Neodiprion lecontei: one gene and its partners. The protein of the gene in region 1 binds, or shares a complex with, the protein of each later gene. Links are inferred from orthologs where the notes say so. Each region holds a gene or a part of one and is shown in the gene's direction. Other genes may lie near its edges.

Region 1 (11,613 bases):
TGCACGTTTTCAGCGTGTTTGATATTATTTACAAATTGGGTGCTTTGCCCTTCATCTGTATCATAGGTTTGAATCAACTCAAAGTCTTGCGTTTCATCAAATTCTGAATCTCCTCGAATTAGTTCGAAAAATTGCGCCCCATCTTCGTTCTGTACAAGTCTTACCATGGGTCCATCTTCCCTTACAGTTTTCTTGGACTCGCTTTTAATTTTCTCATTGTATTTCGGAAGATTATTCTGAATTAATCCAAAGATTTCTTCACAACTTTCATTACCCATTGGCGGATTCTCAATTTCCAAATTTTCATTTTTGTTCAGAGTTCCCAAATCGTCAAAATTTGTTTGTATTGATAGATTCTGTATAGTTTCGTCCGAGACAAAATCACAGTTCTGGTCTTGCGTCCCAAGTGTTTCTATTTCAAAAAAGTCAATCAAATTATCTTTGTTACTTTGTGCCAGGTAAAAGATTTTCTCCCCCCTGTTATGCACAAAACTTTTTTCGCCACTTTTATCGTGATTAACATTTTTCGATAAATTTTGTACTTCCTCTTCAATATCCTCCGTTCCTGTCCGCTTTCCAATCATTTCGGGAATATCAGATCCCTCTGATAGCGTGTTTTCCGTTAACTCCAAGATACGTTGACCATTCTCTAATTGGACTAATTTCAACAGTGAATCTGATATAGGCTCGTTTGGTGTTATTTTTGAATTTTCGTGGATACTCTCCTCTGAAATTTTTCCTATTTCGCAAGATTCTACCACATTTTCTGAGCAATTTGTGATCAGTAGCTCATAGAATTGTTCTTCGTTGTCTGTTTTCACCAATCTCAAAGTTGGTTCTTGATTGTCAGAGGATTTAGTGATTACCGTATTAACGTTATCCATATGATTTTTGAATAAGTCTTCAAACATATTCTGTGCATGTAAAGTGGTTTGTAAATTACCATCTTCGCGTTGTCCTTTATCAGAGTTTTCTTCATTCAAGTACAGCACAGAGTCTTGAATTTCTAGTACTTTCATTCCTTTTGTAACCGAACTTGTGTCTAATTCTTGTCTATGACTTGGTTCTGAACAGTTTAAATTTATATTTTCAAATAACACAGAATCTAACAATTTATTTGGATTTCGTTTAACTCCAGAAATTTTTTTACTACAATTTTTATTTCCAACCAGATGATGCTTCTGTACGCATTCACTTTCTCTAAGCTTCAAAGTATGTGTCTCTTGAAGCTCGGCATGCAAAGTAGAATTTTCGATCGCCTCTAAGTCATGTTTAATATTTTGTAATTTTTCTGGCATTATTTCAGTACCAATATTCCCGAGATCTCCACTTTTATTCAAAAATGCTAGACCGTCCTTTTTTAACGTGTGTACATAAATTATATTTTGGGTAGTATTTTTTGATGACGCATCTTGCTTTTCGGCTAGTTCAGGTTCATTCACATCAGGTATCTCAATTTCTTTCCAACAATTACTTATCATCTCAGATACAGCGGCTTCATTGTCACAGTCTCGAGATCTTATATTATCAGTTTGCAAAGCACTTTCGGCCGCTAGTTGCATCAAGTGTTCATGCAAAAAATGGTTTGCTGTATCTACTACTTGTTCCGTATTCATGTTTGCCAGCTGTAAACAATTAGATTTGATATGAGTTTGTTAAGGTTTAATGTAAGTAAGATAGCAAAATATAGTGTAACAAAAGTAATTGTAATTACGTATATGTTTATACCTGTTCAGTAGTAACATAAACGATTGTTTCTTTAGTTCGCTTATCCTCTTCCCGGTTGCTGGGACATGTAAGAATAGTCGGTTTGAATTTGTAATCAGGTTCATGGTTACTTGAATTCTGTATCGTATTCATTTTCGAGATACCCTTGGCTCTAGGAATTCTTTCCGAACAAGAATCTCTCGAACCTTGGTCAACAACCTCAAGTTTTGTAACAAAACTTTGTTCCTCTGTAGATAAATTTGATATAATTTTTTCTTGGTTTCTGGCCTTCTCAGAGAATTCTTTATCAGACACAATTTTCTCAGATATCATTTCATTTGCACCAGATAATTTTGGTTTATCACATCTGTGTTCTTTGATTTCGTCCATCTTTTGAAATACCTAAAATATAAATATATATATATTGAATTGGGACTGAGAAGTAGTTAATACGAAAAAATGTTTACATAATGATTTTTGTCGATATTTCAAAGACACATTGCAAATGACAGAAAGAATTAAGTATCCAAAATTGGCCAAAGAAACAAGCCGTGTAGAATTGCAAATTCTCTCACCTGATTACAACTTTTGCACTCCAATATATTTATGCCTTGATGCATACTCTCGTGAACTTTTAATAGCTCAACGAATTGAAAACTGTCCCCACAAATTGTACAGTAATGTTTGCGTTTAACAATTTTTCCATGATCCTGCTGACAACTTCCAGTAAACTGTAAATAAAAAAATTTTTCATTCATATTTGCGCTTAATAAGACGTATGATTAATAATTTGGCATATTGATCTAAGAAATAGTTGCAGCGTGTGCATGATTCTAAATTGTGAAGCAGGGCGATACTTACTCCGTGCGATTTCTTCATGTGTAGTTTAAGACCATTTCTAGTTTTATACTGTTTGTCACAAAAACAACAGTCCATACTGTCATCTCCTCTTTTGTGAATAGCTTTGTGTCTGGTTAATGTATTGATCTGTGTAAATCGCTTGCCACAAATGGTGCACGGGTACGGCTTCACTCCTATAATCCATTGGTTCTAATTATTATTTAATTTTACATATATTTATGTCAATTGTTTTAGAACCCTGTCATGTTTAGCAGGAGTATCATGTTAATTAAAATGTTTTCTTTTCATATAAACTGCGCCAAAAACGGTCTTTTCAGTTTGACGCAACATTGCGATAAAAAATAGTAAAAGTATCCAAAAAGAAGCAAAACGACGTCTTAGCCTTTTACTGCGATAGTTTCTCAATCCAGTTGTGAAAAAAAGTCTAAAGTGAGATAAAGTTCCGTTTTTACCTGAGTGAGTTCTGCCATGCCTAATTAAATTGGAAACATGATTGAATTCTCTTCCGCAAACTTCGCAAATGCATCTATTAGTACCTAAATGAATGTTTAAGTGGGTTTTCAAATCTGTTGACCTGAAAAATCCTTTTCCACATATCTGACATACTTGAGATCTTTCCTGGCTATGCACATTTCTTTTGTGTTTGTCCAACTGTGACATTCTGTCAAATACCAAATCACATAAATCACATTTGAACGGTCTGATCAAATCGACAGTCAAAACCTTGCTCTTTCCATGTTGATTGACTTTCGTCTGTTCTTCGTTATCTGTTGAATTTCCGTACATTGAACCATCTGATGGCAACTCATAATCAGCAAGTTCTTTTTCATTCTCGAACATGTTGTTGCACATAGAACAGACGTGTTCTCCCTCTGTACTCGTGATGTAACGCATGGATTCACGACGAAAAGGATCTTGTTCAGATTTGTGGACACTATTCCCTTTCGAATCATCCTCAATCTATTCATTAGAAGACAAGCTTTCGTAATCGTAAGAATCTCTGTGGCAAGCTGAAATCATCTTGGCTTTTTTGATCAGTATGTATTTTAATCGACGTTCATGTTGTTGTCGATATGTCAGCTGTAAGGAAATATAAATATATCAATTGAAGCCAAGCAAACCAATAATGAATTGTTTTCAGCACCGTTTACTGCCTAGAATGAACAGGCAGTACGCTAGGTAAAGTATATACAGAAAATTTACAATCAGTCATGTGACTTTACAAATGGGTTGGAAGCGTATGTATAAGAAGAATGAATTTGTAAGCTGTTACTGAATATCGTTTAATGTCTTCTCTCATACTCACAACGCGTTGCAGGTGTCCGCGATGGACGAGAATATCTCATTCAATAATTAAAATGAGTGACGCTACAAATTCCTTCTCAATAGGGATGATAAAATTGCGAGTTTGACGTTTGACGGGTGTGAAGTTAGGTTGGGCTAAAGTGTCATGGCGCCAGTTACGCGACACGGTTTCGTTTGAGTCCGTGCACTTGAACTTCGCAAACGTTGAACTGTATTCGAAATCATCGAAGCGTTTATTATTTTGGTGTGAAAAAATTTGGACCAGTGAATCCTACAGGTTATAAAATCTGTTACTCATTAATTTCAAATCGTATACGTTGCACAGAGGCGTACGTGTCAGAACAGCGACCGACATAACCTTAAAACGAGAGGAATAAGTCGATTGTTTGTTACTCCGGCTGCTTGTGAGACGTAAGGGCGTATGTAAATGCACTGATAAATTGACTTACATATTTGTTACGTATCAATAGCAATTTGCATCAGTAAATTTTACAATTTGCAGTTGTGCGAACATTTGCTCTCTTGTATTTTCAGTTGCTAGCAAATGCAGGTAATTTTGTAAAATCGAATTATATAATTAACCTCAAAGTCAACAACAAACTACTAGATAGATTGTTTTGCTGATGATCATTAATTAAATTATCAAAAGTGGTTTTAAAAATTTTTGACTGCGTTAATGGGGTTCAATCATTTATTACAGTTGCTGATGAGTAGACTACCAAGCGGAGCTGCTGGCGAGTATCTAACTCAAGAATAATCTATTTCCTGCGCATTTCTATTGACAAAAATGCCGGACACAATGGAGGAGGATATGGGGCTTTCGGTGAGATTGACCAATGATGATTTTAGGCGTCTCTTAATGACGCCGAGGGCTTCGGTGCCGTCGTCAACTCCGGCGTCGGTTCCTGGAACAATGCGAGACACCGCAGCTAAGACGGCACAAACTCCCGTAATAGCGGGAGGAAGTCGAGCAGAGTTGAGGCGAAAAAAGAAGAGTTTTTATGCCAAGCTTAAGAAACAGGAGGAGGATAAAATGGCAGAACTAGCTGAGAAGTACAGAGACAGAGCGAGGGAGAGACGAGATGGAACTAATGCTGATTATCAGTCCGAAGATCCAATGAATACAGCGAGTGCCTACCGAGCCGTAGCGCCAGATGTTAAATCTGGTATGGATGCAGCAGAAAGAAGGAGGCAGATGATACAACAGTCGAAGTTCTTGGGTGGAGATATGGAGCACACTCATTTGGTGAAAGGGTTGGATTACGCGTTGCTGCAGAAGGTAAGGAGTGAGATAGAGGCCAAGGAACAAGAGCAGGAAATTGAAATGGAAAAGCTGGTGAAGCCAAAGAAAGATAAAGAGAAGGACAAGAAAGAGGTGGAAAAAAAAGAGGAGGAAATGCAATTCAAGACAAAGATAGGACGTAATATACACAAAACATTGGCTATTATGCGATCCAAACATGTTGAACGCAACGAATTGTATTGCCCTGGTCGAATGGCATACGTCATTGAGCTAGATGATGAAAATGCGGATGGTGACATACCAACGACGCTGATCAGGAGCAAGGCCGACGTCCCGACGATAGACACAACGCCAACTTTGACGACCAACGATATTGTCATAAATAAACTAGCCCAGATTTTGTCCTACTTGCGTCAGGGCAGTCGACATAATAAGAAAGGAAAGAAGAACCGTGAAGGCAAATCACGTGTAGAGGAACTCAACGAAATTGATACAGCACAGAGGCCTCAAGACGACAGCATTTATGGAGATATCGGCGACTACGTTCCTTCGTCAAGCAGAAAGGAGGCTGTTCATTCAAAGGACAAGAAAAAGGGTTCATATTTTGACAAACCAGTTGAGACGTCGACAGACGATGCAGCTAACGCTCCACAGCTACCGCCAGTAATAGCACAGAGCATTGAAAATGCACCTAAGAAGGGTATGCTGTTGAATAAACTTGCTGCCGAACCTGAAGGCTATGCCGAGTGTTATCCAGGACTTGACGAGATGCAGGATGCTATTGACGATTCCGACGACGAAGTGGACTACACTAAAATGGACCTGGGAAACAAGAAAGGGCCAATTGGACGGTGGGATTTTGACACTCCCGAGGAATACAGCGAGTACATGAACAACAAGGAGGCTTTGCCCAAGGCTGCCTTCCAGTATGGAGTAAAAATGGCAGATGGAAGAAGAACTAGGAAGTATAATAAGGAGAAGAATGAGAAAGCAGAGTTGGACAGAGAATGGCAGAAAATACAGAACATCATGAATAAGAGAAAACCAACAGGAGGATCGGAAGCAGTGCCAGAGTTCAAAGTCCCAAGATATTGAATAGATGAGATATCGATTCAGGATACGCAAGTTTAACCGAGGGGGAAAGTTATTGCCACCGCTAGGTCAGTCAACTCAATTTTTACATTCTTGCTACTCGTACTATTCATCATGACGAAAATCATTGAAGGTATTTTTATCTGGCTTATCAGAGAATTGGAAGACCAAGAAAAAATTTGCAAAATATGATTTACAATTTGGAATTTAGGTTCAATGTCAATAAGACGATAAATTGTGACAAGAATCGTTCAAAAATAGATTTCTCAGGATTGATTCTGTAGGGCTCAACTTTATCCACGTTCTCGTCCACAGATCATTTTATACTTTTCCGATTTTTACTGAATTCTTATATCGTCATCTAAGATAACTTTGCTGGATGTGGCAAAACAAATATGTACACGAAATGGCCAGGCTTGCCTATTCTCCGTTATCTGATGTCTGACCTCAGCAATGAGTTCAGTGACAATTAATGTTAGATAGTGTTCGTAAAAAATAGTGAATTATCTTAACAAGGTGAAATAAAATATTGTACTTGCGCAGAGTGTGATTTATTGACGCAGAGTTGAACAGTTGGAAGTGATATATTTAACACTTAAATATGAACTGCATATAGTTATAAGGAAATTTTATCTGGTTCACAGTATTTCTCGACTCGAAGGGGGTAACAGAATGCGAGGCGAGGTGTTTGAAAGGAAACTTTGCTATTGAGCTAGCCATAGACTTTTATCGAAATAGACATTTAAATCACTAAATTCATTGCATGATTAACAAATACAGGTCGTAATTACTAGTTACATAGTAAGCTTATGTAATATCTTAAAATAAAATATGGAATATACGGCTCCAACGGTAATTGCTCTTTGTCTCGCGAGTTGCGAATTTTCCATTGAATCTTCTATCGCATAGAATCTATCTTATTGTAGTCAAGTAATTTCAGTAACTGAGTCATTTAGTGACATCATTAACTAGCAGACAGACGATGATAGAATTTTTTTTTATACGTGAAGCATATAGAGACATAAGGTAAAAACAGTGAAATAGTACAAACTATCTTTAATTTTGATTAGATCATAAGTCACGAACTTATCATACACGCTATGCATATTAAAAATATACATATATACTTAATATTATTGGATATTTCTGCGAGGTAATTATTTACATACATAATACCCGTCGCAACTTTCCGGATACAAAAAGTTACTCTTCTCAATACTTAGTTAAAATGTGCAAGGTAATTAAGACTGCAAAAACCGTAGTCAGGACCACTGAAAAGCGTGAGAATGGAATCGCGGATGATACAACGCTTTCGGTGAATGCCAGGCCATCGGCCGAGAAATTTCTACCATAAATAGCAAAAGTTAACAAACTGCTTGTTTTAGTGGTCAAAACGTGGGTGACATTCGCTAAAGTAGAACCAGATACGGTAGTTTTCCTGTAGGTGAAATCGCTGATGTTTAATGGAAGCATATCCGTGGTCAATGAGTCTGGCATCTGCATCGTGTCTGAGGTGGTAGAAAAATTACCGGATACGACGATTTCGTTAAAGACAGTCGGCTGCAAGACGGTGTCCGTAGCGGCAAATCTCAGCCCGCAGCTGCTCGCCGTATCATTTCTACAAGAAATAATACTGCAGATTTGCACACCGGTGGTAGCCACGCCCGAATGTGTTCTCACACCGTTGAATACTGCGATGCGGTATCTGTAATAATTTGCACTCGAATTGACGCTCTCCGCATCGAACGTCCCGTTGACGTAAAAGGAACAGCAAAGCTGCCGATCGCATATTTCGAGCCAACTGGCGGTCGTGCCGTTGCTCAAGGACAAAACGCTCGTCGTGTAAGCCGTCAGAATATCCTGGATCACCGCTTGCTGAGGGACCGTCGTTATACCGACCAGAGTCGTGATTTCGGTGTTACTGAACTCGTAGATCAGCGGATAGGTCGTGGAGGTGACGTTGTTTCGGGCCCCGTCGATCACCTTTGGTACTCTTGCCACCAAAAGAGCGTTCTTCGCACTCTCCGAGAAAAGGGCGACCAATTTTCCGTTGGTTCCAGCGTATATTCCACTGCCTCCACTGCCGGTAGCTGGCATGTTGAACCCTGACGCCAGAAGGTTGACGTTGTTCGTGTAGGACCAGGCCGTTTGGGTCTGAATGGCGGTCAGATACGGCATCTCGGAGAACCAGTGTACCGAGAAAATGATGTCGGTGACGTTATAGTCGTTGATCAGAGTCAGAGTTGGCGTTCTGAAGAGGATGTCGAAACAGATTATTTGTCCAAATGTAACGTTGAAATCCGTGGTAAATGTCGCGATGTCTGGGGTCGAAGTTATGTTGAATCCCAGCTCGCCGAAGAGGTTGTACTTTCTGTATCTTGATACGATTGCTCCTGTTCGGTCAAACGCTACGTTTGTGTTGTAGTAGAAGTAACCGTCGCTGGGACAGGGACGAGACGACGTTCCTGTCGTGGTGCAGTTCTCTTTCTCGCTCAAGTTCACCACGACGTAAATTGAGTTATTCTTGGCAGCGCATGAGATCAAACGTAAAGCCTAGGAAGAAAATTCCGACATTAGGTATACTGACTAACACCTGTATTGTAGTATGTTTAAAGATGTCTGACATTCTTTGTATTGCCGATGAATCCAATCGTTCTCTTTACAAACCTCCATTACGACAGTCGACGAATTATCACAGGGTATGTCTGTTCCTGGGTCTGGTACAAAAGAGCTGTGTGAAGGATATAAAGTTCTGTCCGTGTCGGAGGAATTGAGTCCCATTGTCAAAGAGCTTTCTGGAAATACGACGATGTCCGTGCTCTGAAAGAATTCAATGAATATAAGGAATTCATTTGGGTAAACATATTTTTCAAGCGTTATAGAAATATACTCTTTTACAAAGAATTCTGAACTCGAAGAACGTTAGAAATTTTACCACTGCTATTTGATTTTTCGATGAGAGACAAAAAGTTTTTCTTTTATTTAAATCTACTCACGTAATTTGCAGCTCTCTTAATAATTGTAACATAATTTTGAGCATTAGCGTTAGCGATTGTCGTCCCGTTTGTTCCATTTGTAACCGGGTAGTATTCGACAACTGCACCTATGTAAGAAGTTGTGTCTGCGGCCAAAACCTGTACATGACGAATAGAAGGGTATTAGGCGAACGATCGATAATCAAATTATGGATAAATGACTAATTATTGAATGTAGTTGGTATTTTTTCAAATTACCGACATAATAGATTCAACATGAATTATCGATAGATTATTCTACTACTTATGGATGCTACATTCGTTAAGTTACCAGCTAGTAAATTTCTTTCTCAATAGTGTTTTTGAACGGTTTTGTTACATAAATTATTTAATTCACATACAGGCCCGATTGCACCGCGGTAAAGTGAAGTCACGCCGATCTCATATACGAATTGCATCTGGCGTTATCATATTCTTTTCAATTGATAAGTAAATTCGAAGTGAACGCGGCATGCGGTAGTGCAATAGAGTCTCGTAGTGTTCGACCAAAAGATGGCTCGTATTTCAATATGTGAGTTGATACATACCTCGGAGGTCAGTTGAATAGAAATCGCCAACGCGACAGCAACGATTAATAGTTTCGAGAGACGCATGGTTATCAATATGAAGACAGCTGTAATATAATTTTTACTTATATAAACCAGGTTCCCCTTAGATATTGTTATCTAAAATAAACAGCGATTCTCTTCGATAACAGCAATACAGCTAACTGTTATCGCAACCTGGGTTAAGCGTATTCAATTATCGTGACTAGATATTTGTATAGTAATGGGTTTTTCACTTATTCACTATTTCAGTGCAGCAAAAAGCATAATGAATTGTTTCATAGGCGTAATCAGAATTTTCAATTTTTACCGGACGGCGAAGTGTTGCGCTTATAAACCTGACTTACAATAATGTCGAGTCATTCGGCGTACTTACCGAATTTCATATATCACTGACTATTCGTGAAAACTTATACCGGCATTGTCATAAAAAATAACAATATGAAAATTTACGCGGTATTTTCGAAATACGATGTCAGTTTTTTTTTTTCAATCAAATCGCGTAACTAGCGCAACACACCTGTTATTTTTTCAACTCCACAGTCACGGAATGTACTTTAATTTTCAACTTTCACAACCGCTTTTACATACCTAGGCGAGTTTAATAAGTAGGTAGACACACTACGTTGTACGCAACGTCAGTTCTGCTCCGCAATCGTTCTGTAAACTGCGTCTGAGACATGCGAATGTTATTGACGATAGAAAACTGCGCAGTTGCGTTGCATTTGACAGACAAAAATATTTGAATTTGTTTGCATCGTCGTATGAAATAAATTTCTGCAGTTGCTTCGCAAAGTGATTACTAAAGAATCGTCCAATTTCATTACTCAAATTAAGAACATGAAGAATTTGACTAACGGTAAATTTCAATTTACATTCACAGCCGATTGTTGACGGTCGAGTAGACGTAAAATTGAAACAGTGAAATCTTATGTAAAATCGACTTATCACATTATCATTTTATTTCACTAACCCACAAATAAATAGTGTATATGGGGCATTCCACGCTAATTCGACCTGGCTTTTACCCTTGACCTCTTAGATTTGGCATGCGATTTTTTCTATGATTGTTCTCACTTTTAAAGGTTGTAACAGTTTCAAAAAGCTGCCAAAGCAGTGACTACGGGACTCAGTAATAGGTAGTTCCGCAGAGGGAGGGGGGGGGGGCCTTCACCTAAGCGGTTATATGATATATGTGTGATCAATCAATCGAGAAGTGTAAGCTATAGACGACGGATGAGCGGTCGATCGTTATCAGAGTGCGCTCAAAAAAGACGTTTTACGGTGATCACTATATCTTTGAACTGGATCCTCAGAAATTGAAAAACCCAACAGATTTCGTTAAAGTAATGTTAAATCTAGTAATCAATCGAAGGAATAAGCGAAATAAATTTTTTTGACAAAATGGCGGTTTTTCAAAAAAAAAATCGATTTTTGACCAAAGTTTCGGTTTTAAATTGCTTATAAAAAAAAAATATTTATCGGTGAGCAAAAATCTTCGATTAATTACTAAAAAAAATATTTAAGAAGCTCGTGTTAAAATTTGAGATCAATCGGTTCAGCCGTTTTCGAGTAATGTTGGTCACCGACTTTGTAAACACCATTTTGAGAAAAACGCGTTTAAAGTTTGGGGAGAGAAAAGTAAAAATTTACCTTTCAGGGATAAAAAAAACAATAACACACTGCTGCTTCAAGCATCTAAATATATTAGAAGGGAACATTTACGATGGGCAGGTGCATAAAAGGGACAGCGTTCCAGGTCAGCCCTTCCGCTCCGGCCTTGCACTTTCAAGCATTCTGAAACGCCTTTTCGAATTTGCGTGTA
Region 2 (9,708 bases), on another chromosome or scaffold:
TATTTTTACGAATCCGCCATGATTGTTTCTTCTGTTGAGAATATTTTAATCGTCGTCATTCATATCATCCTCGATTCTTGTTTGTCCCCTACTCGTTCACAACGATCACTCTCATTCATTCTTCTGTTTTCTTCCGATTATTTTCTTTCACGATCGGTGATTAATACTCTATTTGTTATCCTGAAAGCAGCCGCTTGAGCAACATACAGGAACTGACGAATGGTCGGTACAAACGTCAAATATCATCGTACGGTTATCGCAGGAAACCAGGAATATCATTTCTATTTGCACACACAGTCACGTCAGTTTAGGTAAAGCTAGGGTACAGCTAGAGGTTAGGTTGGGCTAAACTGACTGCTGAATCTGTTAAAGTATCATTCGACCTAACCTCACCCAAGCAATCCTAATCGCATTACGTGTCCTGCTTGCAGTGTACCCGTTGATTTACTGTAAATTATTACAAATGAGTGACGAACGATTACTGGCCGAGGCCATTCGATCTTTGAAAACCCCGGCTATCGCAGGCTTCGGCAATCCGTTGTTGGACATATTTGTAACATTGAACAGCGATGATATGTTGAATAAATATAGCCTAAAAGTCGACGGAGAGGAAGAACTACCCGCAGACAAAATACAACAACTTATCAATGAACTTCCTTCAGAGTTAATGACTATCTCAATACGAAATAAATGGAAAAGAAACAGACACATACAGCATCTGCACTCAATTTCTTTCATTTTCATTACTCACATATCTTTCACCCTAGTAGAATGAATACTCGTGCTCTTTTAGTTTTCAAGATCAAAACAGTGAAATGAGTACGAATTGAACTATTTTTCAATTGTTCGATGTAATGTCTAACATTCAAATCATTTACGTGAAATAACCACATAGAAATAACTCTTCGAATATTCAGTATTTAATTATTAAATTACAGATCAGAGCAAAATATCAGTCCTGGAGGCTGTGCTCAGAATACAATCAGAGTTATTCAATGGTTGTGTGGTGGACAGAGTGGACCGCAACTGGGATTGTTCTGTGGAGGACTTGGAAATGATTCTCGGGGGAAAATACTCCAAGACATGGTTCGAGCAATAGGAATTGATGCTCGGTATTTTGTTTATCTATGGCATACGACCAGACTTAAATTTATGAATTGCAGAATACATCTAACAGTCTGATTTATACTAAGGTTCTAATGCCTGATTCTTAATTTCCTCCTAGCTATGCAATTCACCCTGATCTACCAACTGGTGTTTGCGTATCAATGGTAAAGAGACCATGGCGGAGCCTCGTAGCAAATTTAGGTGCTGCTAGTGTGTATACTTTGGATAATCTGGCGCAGCATGATTTGCCGTTAAATTCACTGAAAATAATTTATATCGAAGGATTCTTTATAACGCATAGTTTTGACGTTGCTTTGGAGTTGGTGAAATTGGCTCGAGATAAGGGTATTACTGTAGCATTCAATATCAGTGGCGAATATATCTTCCAGGTTACGTTTCTATACTTGAATAATGTGAAAAATTCTATTAATTTTGTTGCTAACCTACTAACAATACATTTTATTCCATTGGAAATCTTTTCGACAAAGCCTAAATTAACTTGGAACTTGTTGTAAAGAGTTTTGTACTGATATAAAATTACAAAAAATATAGTATGTACTATTCTCAAGACATTCAAACTTCTATATTCTTTTAGGAGCATCAAGTTGCCATTTGTGATATGGTTGGTTTGTCCGGAATTGTATTTGGTAATGCCAGAGAGATGACAGCTTTGGCTCGCGTATTAAATCTCCAGTTCAACAATGTTCAGGAGATCCCATTCCTTCTAAACAATTTGAAAAGGGTCACAGTTGGTGCATCTAGTAAGAATGATGGCAACTGGTTGTCAGATGAGGGTATCATTGTGATGACTCAAGGTGGAAAATCTCCTGCCATCGTCGTTTGGGGAGAGGGTGAATCTGCACAGGTACAAATTGAGGATTTTAATCCTGAATGATAACTGAAAGAATTTGCAATAGCGATGTAATAAATTTCAATCTTAGAATAGTGAAATTACAGGTAAATGAATACAGCTTGAGTTTAATATCTAGATAACGTTTCAGGTTCTACCCGAAATTCCTGAAAACCCTGTACTGGATACAACAGGTGCGGGTGACTCATTGGTGGCTGGTTTTCTGCTCGGTGCTTTAGTTGGACGTAGTCCAAAGGCATGCTTGAAATTGGGCTGTAAAGTAGCAAGCATGATCGTTACTAGAGTTGGCGTAACCTTTCCAGAATCAATACCGGCCCATTTACTACAATAAATATACAATACAAAATTGGAATCTCTTCAAAGCTATTTGAACTTTCATCTAACAAAATAAATAGACCTAGTTAATTTAAAAATTTTTGACTTCATTTTTAAATTAATTGCCTGTGTGTCAGTCGGTAAAAGACCGTGGTCGGTAATAATTCCGTGATACATACCTCGTGCTCTAAGGGGGTATATCACTTGGTGTTTTTCTTTTATCAACGCAGTTATGAGTTTATCTCTCGTTCTGTAGATGGCGTTACAACTAAATTGGCTTTAGCTATACTAGTGGAAAGTGAGGAAACATCAAACAGAAGTGAACAGAAGTTTGGGTAGGAGCCTTAGCTGCAGGATTATTTACGTGCGTAATAAACGTTCAGCACTTATCGTCACAATGTCCTCTACGGTGAGTAAAATACAAATATTTAATAATAAAACGCAGAAAATTAATCGTACACACATTTTTGATGGTATTCTCTTACAATGAACGATCGTAACCTCAAAATTCGACAAACAACCTACGAAGGGTATGATAGTTTGTTAAAATTGTGAACTTTACTGTATTTTGATGTAGTATATCGCTTCATGGAATATTCCATAATTTTTTTATTTCAGCGTCCTGACGATCATCGTCGGAAGTGGAATAGGGAGGAATATGAACGTATAGCGCTACAAAGGCTTCAAGATGAGATTGCCGAAGAGGACTTGGGTATTCCTAAACAGCCAGCGGTTAAAAGAGAGCTGCTCAAACAGCGTGATTACAAGGTTGATCTTGAATCAAAACTTGGAAAAAGTGTTGTCATCAATAAAAATACACCATCATCGCAGACTGGAGGGTAAATTTTTCAAATCTATTTGAAAACTTTTGGCGATTTATCACAGTAAATATTTTTAGTTCTTAACATGCTTTTTCCTTTCTATAGATATTATTGCAATGTCTGCGACTGTGTCGTTAAAGACTCCATCAACTTTTTGGATCACATTAATGGCACGAAACGTAAGTTTACAAATTTTCATTTATTATGATAAAAGATCTTCTCAATTTGTCGACCTGCATTTTAATCAACATATGTCCATTATTCCATCTTATTTCCCTTCATGCGTAACTAATAATGTAACTCCCACTTACAGATCAACGTAACTTGGGAATGTCCATGAAAATTGAACGCTCATCATTGGATCAAGTTAAAGCGAGGTTCGCTCACAACAAAAAGAAATTGGAAGAAAAAAAGAAAGATTACGACCTTGAACAGAGAGTAAAGGAATTGAAAGAAGAGGTAATTATTGTTTTGAAAAAGTCGTTATCGGTCAATAACCGATTATGTTTGTTCTCAGGAAGAAAAAATCAAGGAATATCGAAAAGAGAAGAGGAAAGATCGGAAGCGGAAGTTAGACGAGGCCAATGAGGACGACGCAGGACCTTCTGATGAAATGGCTGCAGTTATGGGATTTTCTGGCTTTGGCTCAAAAAAAAAGTGAGATAAAAATAGTGAAATTGATATGTTTCATTCTCTACTTGATGCGCGTGTAATGAACATGTTCCCAAAGTGTACACGGACGACTAAGATGAGTTTGACATCTTCAAGTGCAATTGTGATAACTCAATTGTCATGTTTCTGTTGGATGCTCATAGGATGAAAATCTGCGTTTGTTTGACCAGGTAAATTACATTGATTATAAACTATAATTTCTCATGAAGTGAATTATTCGTATTCTTCTTAATTAAAAAATTAAATAACAGATATATGAATAACTGCATGTCGTATATTTTCGGAAGTATGAACTGCGAGAAAGAAGCAACATTTATCGAATGTACGTATTATAATTTTATTTGCAGTGAACATTGTCGGTAACAAATTAATTCATAAAACGTGTTTCACTAGAAAGTATACCGTACAGTGAAAATATAGAATAAATACAAATTAATGATATTTAACAAAATGAAAGTAAGTGAATAATAATTTTACATGAATAAGTTAACCTGTTATAAAGCAAATGAGGATATGAAAAAACAAAGATTAAGATTTTGATTGAATATCAAACATACTGCCACATTAGTTTTAATTGGGATGGAAAGCTTTCACCTTATAAACTTTGTCATATTCGCAAGAATAATTGGACAACATTTTTTCTGGACTTAAAGTCTTTTCTACCCATGTTTCACTGTTTATATCATGACGTCTACGTTTTCGCGGTATTTCATTGGTACCTAGATAGTCGTTGCCAGTCGTAGCATCTATTTTATCTTGATTATCTAACCATTCTCTCACAAATGCTTGTACATTTTTCGAAACACTTGAAAAACTGTTGGTGGCAGAAAATCTGCTGGTACTGTGGTCTGAAATATTTGAGTTACAGTCACTTGTTTCAGGAAATGGATCTATCGATAAATGCTGGATTTTTGGGAAACTGTTTTGAGGTATGTTAATCGTTGTAGATGCTTGACACTTTTCTTCAGATGTGTTACAAGCTCTGATCACTTCTGTGTCAGTAAAATTCTGATTTTGATCAGAAACATAGGGTCGCTGAAGATGTTGCTTTGTTAAGCTGAATGCAGCAATATCTTCAAGTATTGCAGGTTGCTTCGGCAAGTAAAAATTGCCTAGGTGTTTTTTTTCACCGACAAAATTTTTAGATTCGTACTTGGGACTGTAGGTATAGTTCAACTTAACAGGTGACCTGTTTTCTAGTTCTGATTTTTGCTCTTTTATAACCGAGTTGCAGATCCTGGATGAAAATTTCATTGTATTTTCATCTTTCTTTCGAATCAAGGAACGCTTTCTGTGTGATCGCAAATACATGGCCTGTGTGATCTCAAAACTAGAGTCCTTAACTTCCGTGAAAGGCTGACTCTCCTGTTCAAAACTCGTTGTGGAATTTTTAGATGATTTGATATCAAATTCAATAGAAGTAAGTGAAATAGAACTGATGTTAGACAGCTGGGACCCGATGTGTTCTGAGTCAGTGCTTAACGATTCATTAGGTGGCTTGTACAAGTGAAAACTTGTACATCTGACATTATCCACCTCTGCATATTTGGTAACAGAATTTTTCTCAATATTCTTGAATAAATCACAAAGTTTGAGATTCTCATCTTCACTTTGATTTATTTTGGCACTTTTATAAAAGGTGGATTTATGATTAGTCAGACTTGGCATTAAACCAGGTTCATTTTCTATGAATTTGTTTTTACTTGTATTTTTCTCCACGTGTTCAATTTTACGTTCTATCAATGCTGGTACAAAATTTTCTTTTTTCGTTTGATTATCACTAGCACATTCTGACAGAGCGACCTTCGCATGAGAAGGTAATGAATAGTTTCCGAGTTTAGGTAACTCAGTAAAATGGCTTAATTCTTGTGTAGAATCATCTGAGTCACTTAGGCCATCTGAAAACATTCTTGAAATTGCATTACTGTAATCAGATTTGTTGTAGATCTTACTTTTCTCGTTCTTTGCAAATAACCATATCGAATTTTCGTTACTAGTAGTTTTTTGCGACTGTTGCTTTTTCAGAGCAGTTAAGGACGATGACGTTGACTTTGAATTTGCACCATTTGATGCTAAAAAACTAGTGTGAGCGGGCAGACTGCAATTTTTCATGGCTTTCCCACAGTACATTTGCAAACTCTCGTTTATGCCTTTATAGTTACTGCCCATTTCCCATCTATCGATGCTGCCAACAAACTTTTTACTCAAATTGTCTTTTACAATTGATGATACAGTCGTCTTTTTCTTACTCTCGAATGTCTTGGGCATTTTTCGAAAATATCCTTAATTACTTTCCGTCTGTTTTGTTACCGGTACCATTCAGTATTGTTTGATGATTTATATCTGTTGACATAACACGTATGTAAAAAATTAAGTCATATTGGCTTTTACAATGCACAGTTAATAATTGGTTGGAATATTTTGTCGGTGTCCTTTCAATGTTAATTCACAATTGATAATAATAAAATTCATTGACGTTTGAACTTATTTTATATATATTCTAAATTCATATACACTTATGTGGCGTTAGAAATTACGAAGACGAAATAAAATTTCCATATTTGTGCACTTATTAATGAATCTTGGTCCCGGATATGTGTGTATGCACGCGCGCACACACACACACACACATATATATATACGGCATGCGAGATATGCCTCGCGTGGTATGTATTGGTATCAATAAGTAATGGTATATATAGAAATAAAAATGTTAATGGGTGTACTATTAGGTGAGTTTAGTCAGCGACAACCGTTAGCTTGATCTTTTAGAGATATATCTCACTTTTTGAAATATCGTTGCTTTACTACCCCGCGACTCATATGCCTAACTGGTTGACATATTATAATTACTTACTAGATACATAGATATCGTCAGTTGAAGTTTTGACCGCAATTTAGATCCATGATTCATTATGAAATCAGTTCCTGAAGAGCTTTCAGCTATTAACCTAAGCAACGCGAAGTTGGCTTTGAATTCGATATGTAAGTTTAACTATGTGAGTAATTCAAAATCTGGACGTCCTAGTTACCGATATTCATCTATCGAAATAGTGTGGCAGTAAAAACTGCTCATCAGTATCTGATATTTTATTAAAAAAAAGAATCGCTCTTGTTTCGAAATTCGAATTCGCCCTACTTTTACGTAAACGTTCGCGAAGGTGCAGGTAGACGGCGTAGCAATACATATTTTCGTGGACGAAAAAACAATTGCAGCATGGTACACGCTTCGCGATTGTTACTCCGTAGAGTCCGATACTGGAAGCCAGACTTTTTCCTCTCTAGTCGCGTACAGGAGAAAAATCTCTCGATTATTACCTACTTTGCACGCGAAGTGGCGAAGTTGTATTAATACGGCAGTTAAAATCGGAATTATCGTGATGAAACGAAAGTGTTTGCGCTTCGGTGTGTGTGCGCGGGAGATAGGAGAGGGTGAGAGTTGAGGATATATCGCATCTAGTTGCGGAATGTACGCTCGCGAAGCGGGACTAAGATCGTCGTCTAGCCAAGTTCAGACAGCTCGCAGAGCCGTTTCTCTCGCGTCTGCTGCCTCCTTCGTCCCGACGACGTCGTCGCCCGTGTTCTTCTATTCGACGTGACCTGTGAAGCAGGTTCACCGAGGGCCTGCGATCTTAGATCCCAGCTCATCGTCAGTCGGTTAGGATCCGCCGTGCGCAGGTGTTCTGAATCGTCGACAAACCGTTTGGGCGACGCGACAGCATATTCGTTCGGGAAAGGAGCAAGTGGTTAACATCGTCGAAAACACATCTGCAATCATATCGAAACTGTCCTCGCGAAGGGTGAGAACAAAAGACGATGGCATGCGATAGGAAACACGGAACACGGTTGATCGAACATTTTGCCGATAATAATTGAGCGTCAACAATAACAATTGGGTGGTGTGAGCGGTATTTATCGTCGCCTCAGAGGTTCGGTGAGTGAGAAACATCACATTGGATATTTCGGCGTAATTTGGGGTGATTCTTCGCCGATTTTTTTTAAAACGTTAGCCGAGGATTAATCCAGTGTGAAGTTGCGCGTATCCGTGCGTGAGACGAGTCATATTCGCAGCGCTCGCTTGTTTCCTCGTATTACAATAACACGCTGTCAGTGTATATATGTATGTGTTGCGTGCTCTTTGATTGAGGAACAGATGTGTATACTCGCAACGACAAAGCTGTTGTATTTCATTACTGTATCTGAAACTTGTGAATGAAAGACGTCGCGCGAGTTCTCTATCGTGTTAATCCCATATCAACTGACTTTTCCGTCCGTAATTGCTTCGACAACCTTGACGACCCACCGAACGAGAAGAACATGCCAAGGACATCGACCCTCCAGCCCATCGCGGAATCGAATACTTCGAAAGCGAGTGAGTATATATTACAATTTAATGTAGCATATATTGTACCACGGACGTATTAGATCGAAATTGATCGCCTGCAATGTGCGCAGACTTGCAAAAATCGGTAGAGCTTCTAGCAGTTGTACAAGGTCCAAAATAAAGTCTCTGATTCCGGATTGAAGATGAAGTGAAAACTCTTTCGGCATCGAATCTAATTATCGCCACAGCCAGAGTCGCGTTGGTCAAGATTTAAAAAATCACACGCTGAGCCACAGGCATTGCACTTTTATTTTCATTGGAAAATTTCGTCCGTTACCGGTTCCGCCAATGACTTTTCAAGCGTATAATCAGCTGCGTAGATCCGAGCATTCGCGCTTCTTGGATAGAAAAAAGAATGAAATGCTTAACTAACTATCGATATAATGACGTAGTGGCATCTATCATCAATGACGAGTAAGCTTGACGTTGACTGACAATTAGTTTTCGGCTAACACCATGCCCCGCAGGACTGTTCGTCTGATTGTCGGTAGAACAACCGGGAGATGTTGTTTTGATAATTTGCATTTATTTCTAATTAAAAACTCATCTGCCGCTGTACAATCTGACGTTGCTCATTGTAACCGAATTCATTCCAAGCTTTAAACGAAAGGTTAATTAGCGTTTGGGGATAAAAAAAATGAAATATTAATACCGCAAGCCTCGTATTCACCGAATGCAGGCTATTAGGAAAAAGCCTTTTTTACGACGTATAATTTACCGTCTATAAATCGAACGGCATTCACACGAATATAACCGAATTCTAGACTAATATCTAATGCCTCTCTCTCTCTCTCTTTCTCTCTCAACATACCCGAAGATGACCCGTTGATTTCTCAACTATATGAGTATACTTAAAAACAATAAAAAATAAATATGTTTAAAAAAAAGAAATTCATAGTCGTTAGAAGACGATGTTCAATATCCATATTATATATTTCGGTCAAGTCTCTCGTTCGCTGAATGAGTATTATGTGCATCCTAGAACAGGGTACAGTCTGTACCTGCACTTCTCAAGGAAACATGATAATCCTATTAGTTTCTAGTCGGAAGCGCGTCTGCTCATAGTCTAGTCAATATTTTCCATAACTTGTCGCCTTTTTTCATTTTCTTCGTAACACAGGCTCGCTCATCATACTGATATTACTGCAGGCAGCGTGTTTAGAAAAGCTTGTACTTTTTTCTATCACATATCCGATAGATTCTGTCGGACTTCTGCAAAGAATTATATTTGCAATGTATCTAAGACCGAAGTGAAATTCAAGTATTTATTAATCTTACGGTATAGCCGAAAAATCCCGATCGATATTATTTATAAGATACTATAAACTATGCGAAAAGAGTTTTTTTGGCATTGATTTTATACTTTCGTAAATCACCGACCGTCACGGCGAAAGTCGTTTCAAAGATTCATTAAAATGGCCTGGTAATTTCATATGGGATCAATCTAGGTATATAAACCGTATCTTTTTTAAATTCGTAATCTCATCACATGTCTTCGCTCGTAACATTCGCTCGATTTCGAATCATCGCGTTATTAA
Region 3 (11,076 bases), on another chromosome or scaffold:
CTATCGATAGCAGTTTTTGAAGAAAACGTAAAAAACGTCGAATTCTGCCGTTTCTTCCAAACGCCGGCTATGCAGCACAAGAATGACTTGAAATTTGACCCCCTGAGGGTTGGAAACTCCTACACACAAAAATGCAGCTATATCCCGAATGCTTCGATTGCTTAGGCACCGAAGGGGGGGGGGGGGGGGGGGGAGAGGTGGAGTTCGACTGAGTCTTGTCTCAAAGGAGATACGCGTACCGATGCGTACTACGAAGAGGTAAGAAGAGGGAGAGATATTTAGCCGTCTCAGCTTCTTCGCTTCTGCTCGCTCTGTACTCCGATTCGACTGAACTCGGCCCGCAGTTTTGATAACAAAATATGAATAGCATTGCTGTAATTTGGAGAGGTGTATGTATCTGTAAGATTACTGATAGAAAAAAAATTTAAACCGGTTTTTAACAGGTATCTGGAAAACGTTCGGACAGATTTTGTTTAAACCCTGCAGCCGATTTGAAAATTAGATAGAAATTTTACATAAATGCATTTTTTTTTTTTGCAGGTGCTATCAGAACCTCAATTGTTAAGCAACTGAAATTTTGAGATTCTTCGACAAAACGCCTTAGCAGTAACCTTTCGTGGCTACAGATAGGCGATAAAATATCTCGTTGGCACATTTGAAGAGGTGATTTGGAAAATGTTATAATATATATTTAAAAAGTGTCTGTATTGTGAAAATTATTCTGCAATTTTTTCTTAATTGTTCCTTGAATATCAAATCGCACAAATGTCATCATTCAAGACCCCCACCGCTGCGGTTTGCAGGGACGAATTCAGACGAACCATATATATAGTATATATATAGGAAAAGTCTTACGGAGTATTTTCTCACGCTAATAACGAACTGATCTCGAGATTTGTAGCAATAAATCGTAACTCTACAAAATAATAGAGGTCCCTGACAACGGTGCAAGTACAACACGGTGCTAGCTGAACAGAAAATGAGATTTTCAAATCTACAGCAGGTATTATTACGCATATCATTATACTCAGGTATGTATAAAGGTATGACTGATATTCTCTCATCGTCAACAGTCATAATAACTAACAATGAGTTATTATATATAGAACGGATTGTCATTCGGATTGTGGTAGCGGTCACCACGCCGAAACTCTCACCCCGCCCCCCCCCCTTTCGCTACGGCAACCGGCGGCGCATCCTCAAGGTCTAAAATGGGAATGCCAACTACATATTTACAAACATCCGCATGTCAATCGGACGGAGAATAATATACCGAGAGATTATGTTGAAAAGGGATGATCTGTACATTACGTTGGCCATACTTGGCTGCCCCGAGTCGCGCTTACACTGCTACCAACATGGAAATTGCTAACAATAAATTCCTAAGGTTCCGGTCGTAATAGAAAATAAAGTATAATATGTTGGAAATTAATATGGGGATCAAATGTTAGATCCGAAAGAATAAGAAGATGAACGTTAACACCGATATTTGTGGAATGACACTGAGAATGTGAAATTCAGCATTTTCGTTGGTAGAAGAATCGTTATGAAAGTAGCGAATCGGCAACGTTGGCACACAACATGATCACACGTGAGAATTTGTGGGAAGTGGACGAATTGATTCTATTCTTGATATAAATCTCTTCTTGATTGTTACGAAACAAGGAATTCTATTGATTAGCTAAGAAAACCGTACGTACAAGATCTTTAAAAATCAGGTTGAAGTTCGTCACGTGATAGCAATGTAGTATGAAAAACAATCGAGCTGAAGGTATGCTGTAGTCTGTCTTTACCGATCCTGTTAATTTATTACTTATTTTAGCGGCAATCAGAACCATGTGTCGTTGAAGCGAAAAATTCGCATATAGCGCAATTCTAAACATAAATATGCAAAAACAGTTTTTGTTCTACGCAACAATAATAAGTCTACCAGAAACTGTATTCTTCGAAAATGCAATTTATGCTAATGACTTGCAGGCATAACACGCTTTGCAAACAGTTTGCTATATCATTTTTCAGTCTTAATATGTGAGAGCAACTAATTTGATCTTAATTGACAAGAATGATCTATAAATACCAGCATTCACTAGGGAATTTTCCACAAAAGGTTGGCTGCCTAGCTAAATTCATTCATACTGCCAACCGAAATAAACGTGCGTCTTCAAAATAATCTCGTGTAAAAAACATGGAATTCGTGGAGATGTCTCATCTTTGACGCCATTCATCGTTTTTAATGTGCGGTCAATTGATATTGTCACTATTAACAATCCACAGGGGAGAGCAGGATGAAAAATTACTCACATTCGAAGTTGGAAATGACACCTAACCAAGCCGAAAAATTTGCGTTCCTGGATTTTTGTTGTTGTATACAATGATGTTATTTACCTTCCCTCCTTGTGTGTTGATTTTGTTTTTTTTATCCAAATCCAGACTGGAACAGGGCACTCTACATCGATCCCAATGTCATCACCTGACGCACTTACAAAAGTAATTACACACACTATTTCTCACAATGATACCACACGTTAATGAAAAACCTATTTGGACTTAAATTTTTCCTAAGTTTGATTTCGAATTAAATTCTCAGTCTCTTGTTCTGTATACAGCCTTGCTTCTTTTCCCTTTTTTTCCTACCTTTCTAGTTTTCACGTCGTCGCGACTGTTGACACAGTTTTAAACAAGGCAGATTAGAAAAACGAGGGAGAAAAAGCGAAGAAGAAACACAAGAGAAAGAGAGAAAAACAAAATATATGTTTATTGCAGGTACATACGTATTTATTTGAAATTTTGGCACACACAATATTTAGCAGGAAATCAGGTAAACCTGTGCGGCAGAACGCGTGCGCGCGTCACAATAATTTTAAATAACGAAACACGTTCGATCGAAGACAACTCTAATTGTAAATTATTCGTAACAACTGGATCGTTGCGCGAACCACGCACAGTTTTCGAGTTCGTGCGATGCTTCCTTACGCTGCGTTAGCGCGGCTTCGATGGACCTTTTGCCTTTCGGCTTTACGCTTGCTACCTCTTCTCGGACTGGTGCTACTAGTCGTCGTCGTCGTCGTCTTCCATTCCGACCCATTCCAAACCCTCTCCTCTCCGCTCAGCTCCGCCCCCTCATCCCGCCGCACCGCCGGCAGCCCTTCCCTTCCCTTCGACGGCTAGTTTCTCACGACGTAACTGAACGACTTCCCCTACCCGCTATAATATCTTGTCAGCCGCCGAGCCTCATCGTCAGAAACTTTCGCTCGCCCCCTTTCCACTACTATCAAACCGCTGAGTAACGAAAAACGATCGTGGTTCGGGAGGCTGTGAGAACTACCCGCACTATCTTTGGATTAATTCTCGAACTTGATCCGTACCAATTGATAAGTTCGAACACTCCTCGAACGCTGTTTGCAACTACATTATTTTTATTCTTCGACAGCTTAGACGCTTCAATGCCTCCGCTGCTTCGCTAACTGAGCACATGTCTGTTGGTAGTCGCTGAATTTCTTGTGTTCAATAGAGCCATAGAAGATTTGTTTACTTCGATGTTTCTCACACAATTTGTGTCAAAATGAGCCTTCTAATATGTATTCGAATTCTCGAAACGTGTCCGATGCGTTGGATGTTTGATAACACTGAATTTTATTCATTGCTGATTCAAATGATTTATCAAATATCAGTCGATGGTGCATTAGAAATGTTGATCAGATGAATTGCTTACCTACAATAGTCGATTGATCAGCGAATTATCTCCTCTGTCGGTAACAATGGTAACGGCACAACTGATATTGGACTGGGCACGTTGCTGGGTGTATTTGATGCGATTCCAAACATATCCTATGAGCACTGAACATTCCCTGCAAGTGAAACAGAATTCACTAATTATAAAAAACATTAGTGCAAAAGAGATAGAAAAATCTGCCAGTGCTGTCAACATCAAAACCAACCACCAGCGATGAGATCTGGATATCACAAGGTTACCAACCAAACAGCTGAACCAAATGACAAGGCTGGTAAAATGGCGTTTTGTTGTTGAAGCTGGTTGAAGCAGAGATGAGTAGGGAGTGAAGTCAAGTCCATGTTATTGACTCGCACGCCGTGAGCTGCTGTGAATTGCGATCATACGACAGCATTTGTAGATGACCGGTTAAACAAACAATTTCTATACAATGATGGATTATTTTGTGACTAATAACTCGTTGGCACCAGCACCCATGGGTATACAAAGTACCGCGGGTGCAGTGCCAGTTAAAAATGACAAAGGTGAGCTGATTTATTATGTGAGACACCTGTTTACTGTACTCCCAATAAGTTGCATACGTTTTAAAGCTTACTTTATTATGAAATTTAGGCATAAAGTTTTGTACAATTGAAGATATGCATTCAATTTTCGTTCAATATTTTCAGGCGAATTGTCGATGAAAAAGGTTAAGGTCCATCGTTATGTGTCCGGCAAACGTCCCGATTATGCGCCTATGGCGAGTTCGGATGAAGAGTCCGAGGATGAAGATTTCATGGAAAAGCGAACACTCAAACCTCTCGAGGAATCAGAGACTGTAACTGATATCCCTGTTCCGTCACACGGTAAACTGAGGGACGAGGATGATCCTAGGCTGAGGCGTTTAACTAGAATCGAGAAGCACAAGGAGGTCGATACAGAAATTCGTGTTGAAAGGCATCGGCACATTCACGAACCTGAGGTATTGGAGACTGAGCCTGAGCGAACGCGCGAAAGGATAAAATTGGAGAGCTCAGATTCCTCGGAGGATGAAGATTTGTCCGATTCTGAAATTGAAAGACGTCGAGACGCATTGAAACAGCGAGTTTTATCTAAGAAGGAAGCTGACCAGGAAATGTTTCATGAAGAAGATGAGGAGAAGCTCCGAACCAACAGCTCCGAAGATAGCTCAGAGTATGAAGAATACACCGATTCTGAGGAAGAAACTGGACCGAGATTGAAACCTGTTTTCGTCCGGAAAAAGGATAGGATCACTGTTATGGAAAAAGAGAAGGAAGCTATGAAACAAAAGCAGGCCGAAATAGAAGCCAAGAAAATGGCAGAGGAAAGAAAAAGGCAGACATTGAGGGTAATCCTTTTGGAAACTGATATTCATTCAATCTTGAATCCTTTCTAAACATGTTTTCACCCCTTATCAAGGTATTAAGGAAAGAGAAACTTTATATGTTGCGATTTCTTTCTTGTTCACTAACGACAAGCTTCACTTACCAACTTTTCGTCCAAGTAGACATTAAACAATCGAGCTAAACTAGACTACACACTTTGAAAATTGTGAATCTTTCGGCTGATGTTGATTTTGGTTATTTTTAGATGGTAGAAGACGCTATACGAAAAGAAACCCAAACTGGCAAGACTATAGTAGATCAGGAAGGAAACATAAATGATGTTTGCACCGACGATGAGAACGACGAAGTGGAATATGAGGCATGGAAACTACGCGAGTTGAAGAGAATAAAACGAGACAGAGAGGAACGAGAACAGTACGTAAACTCAAGAATATTTTCCACTCAAATCATTCTTTTAAAGATATCTTTGGGAATTCGTTTAATTTGAAACTGAAAAAACCATACTGCTAAAAATTTCGAACAAACGGAACATAAAAATGCCTGGGTTTTCAAAAAAGTCTAACTACCAATAAGGTTGAATTTAGTAACATTAACGCGTCGAAATATTGATAAAGAAGTACTATTTTGTAATGTTTAGATGACTAAAGAAGTTTTCGTGAAATACAAGAATGTTTCACCTCATTACGGTTCACTGAATTTTTGACAGTCCCAAAGTTGGGATATTTTTCCTAAATATGCATCGCGACATTATTGTTACAAATTTCAGTCTCATGACTACCACTGTAATCCAACTCAACCCTATATTTTTCTATCCAACAGATTGGAAAAGGAACGGTTAGAGATAGAGCGACTTCGCAATATGACAGAAGAAGAGCGTCGTCAGGAACTGCGTCTAAACCCAAAATTGGTAACGAACAAAGCAGCGAAAGGAAAGTACAAGTTTTTGCAGAAGTACTACCATCGCGGTGCATTCTATTTGGACAAAGACGATACAATTTTCAAACGAGATTTCTCTGGTGCAACGTTGGAAGATCATTTCGACAAAACTATATTGCCGAAAGTAATGCAAGTGAAAAACTTTGGGCGTAGCGGTAGAACCAAGTACACACATTTGGTAGATCAAGACACAACGCAGTTTGATTCACCATGGATTTCTGAGACCGCTCAAAACTTAAAATTCCACAATAACCAAGCTGCTGGAATGAAACAAGTTTTCGATAAACCATCGCTAAAAAAACGAGGCAATGAAAATTGATATGGTGCAGGATGAATTGTGTCTTTACAATGTTGGGAAATGAGACTAGGACCATTTACAAATGTTCAGTTTCACTTTACCTGTTGCGGACAATTCCGTTTGGGTCTTTAAAATTGAGGAACCCACTACGGGAAGGAAGAAATTACTTATTCATAACTCGGGTTATTTTTGTATAACTGATATCAATTTTACTCTTTAATTCATTCAATACAAAAATTTGACAATAATATATTTCTGGTTCACATTTAAAGCCCCAGTCATTCATCATAATTCTGGGTGAAAGATAAGTGTGGTAAAAAGGCGTTGAATAAATTTATAGGCATTTTCATTTTGAAGTAAAAATTACCCACAAAATAACTTTCACCTCGAAAATTATGAGCCAATGAAATTGTGATTTCAAATCATCGGTGACTAACAACTAGTCTGCATGTGTACATACAAAAGCCGATCGTTACTCTGGATATAGACGTAATTCAATACTGGAATGCCTACAATGTAATCGTAGGAAATAAATATCTGTGTTAGGCTAATAGAATGAATAGATAACTAACCAACTTCATTAATATCTTGAAGATGTATGATTTTTACAGTTTAAATTTTTTTAAGTTACTTCAACTGTACAGTTGAAAACAATAAAAAAACTATTTTGTTCCACAGAAGTTTCAGTTGTTATTACACAAAGATTCAACAAGCAAACATACATGTTTGAATTTTTTCGATTTGGAGTTCTTGTTTCCAATAATTTGTAGGTTTGATATCGATGGAAGATCGACATAACAACTTACATCAGTTTTTTTTGAAACTATAGTTGAAAGTAAAAAAAACCTGTCTTACTTATCTAAATACATGATTTTGAAACGTACATTTGTTTATTTAGTTTGTGCAAACATAAAGCTGTTTAGAAATAAATTCAAACAATTAATTGAAAAAATCTGAAAATAAATCTATTTTTGAATTTGAAGTACGAAACTCTCTATGTAATTGAAATTTAAATATACCGGGACAATCTCTTGAAACTATACATATAATGCGCATGCGCGAGTTTTATCGGCTGCTCGGGCAGGTTGGCCACTCCGAGTTTCAGCTGTCAAACTCTGTTTCTGGCGGTGTTGTAGTTCATACGAATTTTTGAGGTTAGAATCTCAAACAGTCGAGGTAATGACTCGGAAAGTTGATGATAATGCTCTTTGAAAATTGGCTTTATTCGACTAAAATGAGAAATCTGTTTAAATGTTGGGTGCTTGGAAGAAACGCAGCAGGTAGGTGCGAACACTTTATTTAATCATTTTTATTATTTCGTACATTAGAAATAACAGTGGAATTTTTATCTATCAACAGGTGATACGACTAAAATAATTACATCTCTGATATTCACTGTTATCTGCCAATTCAATTTGTCAGACGTACAAAGATCATCGCCACTTTCAAGCAACTAAGCAACTTTCTCACTCTTTTGTGATTTCAGGCGGTAATATTGAATTTTATCACTTTCGAAAATGAGACATTAAACCGAGCGTTCAAGAAATTTAAATATCTCACTATCTGTAACGGAACTGTGAATCTTTTTTTTCTTGAAAATAGTTCAACAAAATTTACGAATAGTCGATAGTCAATGTATTTTTTCCGATTAACAAATTATTGCTACTACTATTTAAAATTTCCGAATGATTATCAGAATTTATTTCGCAAATTTTCAATGATGTTCGATCAAATAAATGAAGGGAACCTAATACTCAAATTGAAAATTCAAGTAATATTAGATTTATTAAAATGATTTCTGTATTTCATGTAAGTGCGGTTCGCAACAAAGAAAATCTAATCGAAAGCGTAGAACTCAGGAACGTAAATCACATCCTGTGACACAAGTTGAAAATCAAGTTTCTCAGAATGCGCCTTAATGTTACAATTAGCTTCAAGGACAATCATGTTTTAGAGTAATGTCAATTTTAAAGTAATGTAAAGATTGTGTCCCTTGTTCCATCAAAATAAATGAATATCTAATTTTTAACGAAGTTTATGAAGATTTTTTTCCAAATAATGTAATCCGATACAATATCTTGTTCATAGTCCTCCGAACATCACCTTCTAACAAGGATATTTGGAAAGAGTCCCTTTGTTGCAGAAACCATTATAAAATTCTTGGTTTTCAATTCGTGCTACTGAATAACTCTGTGTTTCAGGTTCCATTTTCAATCTCAAAATGGGATTTTTTTTGCTCCAGATAATGCTAACATGAAATGCAGAAATAATTGCGGTACATGGAGATTCACAAGCTTTCAGTCTTAGCGTAGGACCCTATAAAGAGTGCAAAATTGAATTTGGTTTCAAGTGATCGTGCAACTAGCTAGCCAGATGACACCGTCTACTAAGATTAATTTAAAGACATTTTTAATTGAACTTATTTAACAGTTCTAGATTCAGATTGATTCAGTTTGCCTAGCAAAATTCAACCCTACAATCTAATTGAGGACTTGAAAAACTATTTATCTGAATTCAATGCCAAAGAGAGTAAAAGTAAGCTTCAAAATAAGATACCAAATCAAATGGTATAAAGTTTGAAAAACAATGCTGGTCAATAATAATGCTTGAATTACAATGGTGCACAGAATGATTCCTCGGTAGAATGAATTGGCAGCAACGGTTAAGTAACAAACTTGTCGCTATTGGCTCGATCAAAGTAAAATGATGGGATAGTCAGCCATTATGATCTGTAGTATATCCCGCTCTTCAATTTTGCCTCAAGTGATGTTAAGAAGGTGGCGATGGCCTGATAAAATTCACTCTGGCACCTGATGTCTGACGAAACAACCAGGTTCGATGGTTCTAATGATTGCACCGCTCGAGAAACCAGGATCCTTGCCACCTAAACGTTTTGACCATCAGGTAAGGCATAATTTTCCTCGTGTTAATTAAAGTTTAAACTTCGAGCCTGCTGAAAAAAAAACCAATTTTATCATTGAATCCATGTTAAAATATTGTCATTGTCAAAGATCACGTAATTGGAAATTTACTTACATGCTTCCGTGCCTGACAAATTTAGTCCCGCTTTGACAATGAATTATTTCGTACCTGAAAATATTAGAAGCTATTATTATCAAACAGGATCTTTCGGTATTTTTGAAGGCAAAAGAAACGGCAGCACTTTTTGAAAGGCCACCAATGGCCAGACGAGGGGTGATCAGAAGAGTGGAGATTGGTCTTCCAGTGTTATCGGACGATTGTCTTGTAAGTTATTGTTTGTTTCCTAATTTTTCATTAATAGCATGATTTACACTGTAATATTAACTGTTGTTCTTTTTCTCTTTTTATTCTTGGATTCTGGTGAACCCTCTTTGTTAACGGAACATTGATTGTTGTACAATGGAGCTGCAAAAACTTTGTCAACTAATCAATGATGTCGGCGAGGTTTTTTGTGAGTATTGCGTCGGGTACGTTTTCTGTTAATTGCTACTCTTTGTCCTCCTAAGCTTCGTGTTTAAGATGAATAATTTCTTTATTCCTTGTTACTCATCTCTTTTATTTGTTTCATGTTCATCGGCACTGATTACTGACTTCTGGAGCACTGCACCGTAACGAATCTACTCTGGAAATACCTTCTACTGGGTCTCAACCATTCATTTATTTTTAATTTTATGTAAACAAAGAATCTGTTCACAATAAACATTGTTTTTACTTACCTACCTCTGTTTGTCCAGATTCCGACTTGTTAATGACATTTCACGTTGAATATTAGATTTCTTCTTTCAATAAATAACACCCAATTTCTGTATCATTTGATATTTGCTTTTCCGTTAAATTCTTTATTGCGTCGGTTGAATATCTTCCGAAATCAACCACGGTATTGCTGAACGATACTATTCTTCTTAGACAATTCACGCTACGTAAAAATAAACAGCAGCATAACCTCAATCCACGGCTTTACGCGCGAGAGAATTACAGCTTTTGTTTCATTTAGTGTACGTTGGCGCCTTGCTCAGCAGATGAAAACATCACCGCGGCGCGATTTCACCGACCAATGAGATTAAATTATTTGGCGCATGCGCGTTATATGTATAGTTTCAAGAGATTGTCCCGGTATAAAACGATCATTATAAAGCTAAATAAATCTAATAAAATTTGAATTCTCAATAGCACTCATGCCTGTAGTATACTATAAAACCAAATGTTAAGCATAGTCGCATAGTAACCTTGAAACGGCTTGCACTGTGACATGTTGTAAGAAAAATTCTAAAAACTTATGGGTTCGTTAAGCTATAAATTCAAGCGGGTATCGTCGAGCTGAATACAAATAACAAAAGTTCGAACAAAAAACATTATCCTCACACAATACCCATTTAGTATCAAAAAAATTCTGTATATAATACGTGAAAAATTGCACAATTTAATAGGTCATGCTTTGCATTTTTATTTATTGCGATTGATTCTCTAATTGCGTAGTAATTTGTAGGTTTGATATCGATGGAAGATCGACATAACAACTTACATCAGTTTTTCTTGAAACTATAGTTGAAAGTAAAAAAAACCTGTCTTAGTTATCTAAATACATGATTTTAAAACATACATTTGTTTATTTAGTTTGTCCAAACATAAAACTGTTTAGAAATAAATTCAAACAATTAATTGAAAAAATCTGAAAATAAATCTATTTTTGAAAGTACGAAACTCTCTATGTAATTGAAATTTAAATATATAAATCTCATTGGCTAAGTTTCGTATATAAAACGATCATTATAAAGCTAAATAAA

What was found.
Region 2: protein Red (region 1) and zinc finger matrin-type protein 2 share a complex: the UniProt entries of both Homo sapiens proteins name them as parts of the spliceosome B complex. The link is inferred for Neodiprion lecontei from reciprocal best matches to the Homo sapiens genes IK and ZMAT2.
Region 3: protein Red (region 1) and microfibrillar-associated protein 1 share a complex: the UniProt entries of both Homo sapiens proteins name them as parts of the spliceosome B complex. The link is inferred for Neodiprion lecontei from reciprocal best matches to the Homo sapiens genes IK and MFAP1.

The regions. Positions count from the first base shown.
Region 1 is NC_060262.1:33,327,953-33,339,565, forward strand, and holds protein Red, read left to right. Parts: upstream 1-4,002; 5' UTR 4,003-4,284; exon of another isoform or gene 4,285-4,292; intron 4,293-4,375; 5' UTR 4,376-4,423; intron 4,424-4,573; 5' UTR 4,574-4,660; coding exon 4,661-6,211; 3' UTR 6,212-7,420; downstream 7,421-11,613. Other genes in the region: uncharacterized protein LOC107219618, read right to left, coding at 1-1,625, 1,729-2,109, 2,283-2,438, 2,569-2,741, 3,021-3,462; vanin-like protein 1, read right to left, coding at 7,421-8,761, 8,876-8,989; uncharacterized protein LOC107219612, read right to left, coding at 9,254-9,342, 9,771-9,856. UniProt on the Homo sapiens protein: Involved in pre-mRNA splicing as a component of the spliceosome. Auxiliary spliceosomal protein that regulates selection of alternative splice sites in a small set of target pre-mRNA species. Required for normal mitotic cell cycle progression.
Region 2 is NC_060265.1:7,533,973-7,543,680, forward strand, and holds zinc finger matrin-type protein 2, read left to right. Parts: upstream 1-2,562; 5' UTR 2,563-2,690; coding exon 2,691-2,702; intron 2,703-2,911; coding exon 2,912-3,132; intron 3,133-3,219; coding exon 3,220-3,293; intron 3,294-3,427; coding exon 3,428-3,573; intron 3,574-3,631; coding exon 3,632-3,775; 3' UTR 3,776-4,421; downstream 4,422-9,708. Other genes in the region: adenosine kinase, read left to right, coding at 464-663, 939-1,112, 1,226-1,496, 1,703-1,972, 2,097-2,309. UniProt on the Homo sapiens protein: Involved in pre-mRNA splicing as a component of the spliceosome.
Region 3 is NC_060266.1:18,254,064-18,265,139, forward strand, and holds microfibrillar-associated protein 1, read left to right. Parts: upstream 1-3,988; 5' UTR 3,989-4,160; coding exon 4,161-4,254; intron 4,255-4,398; coding exon 4,399-5,078; intron 5,079-5,320; coding exon 5,321-5,490; intron 5,491-5,895; coding exon 5,896-6,331; 3' UTR 6,332-6,987; downstream 6,988-11,076. UniProt on the Homo sapiens protein: Involved in pre-mRNA splicing as a component of the spliceosome.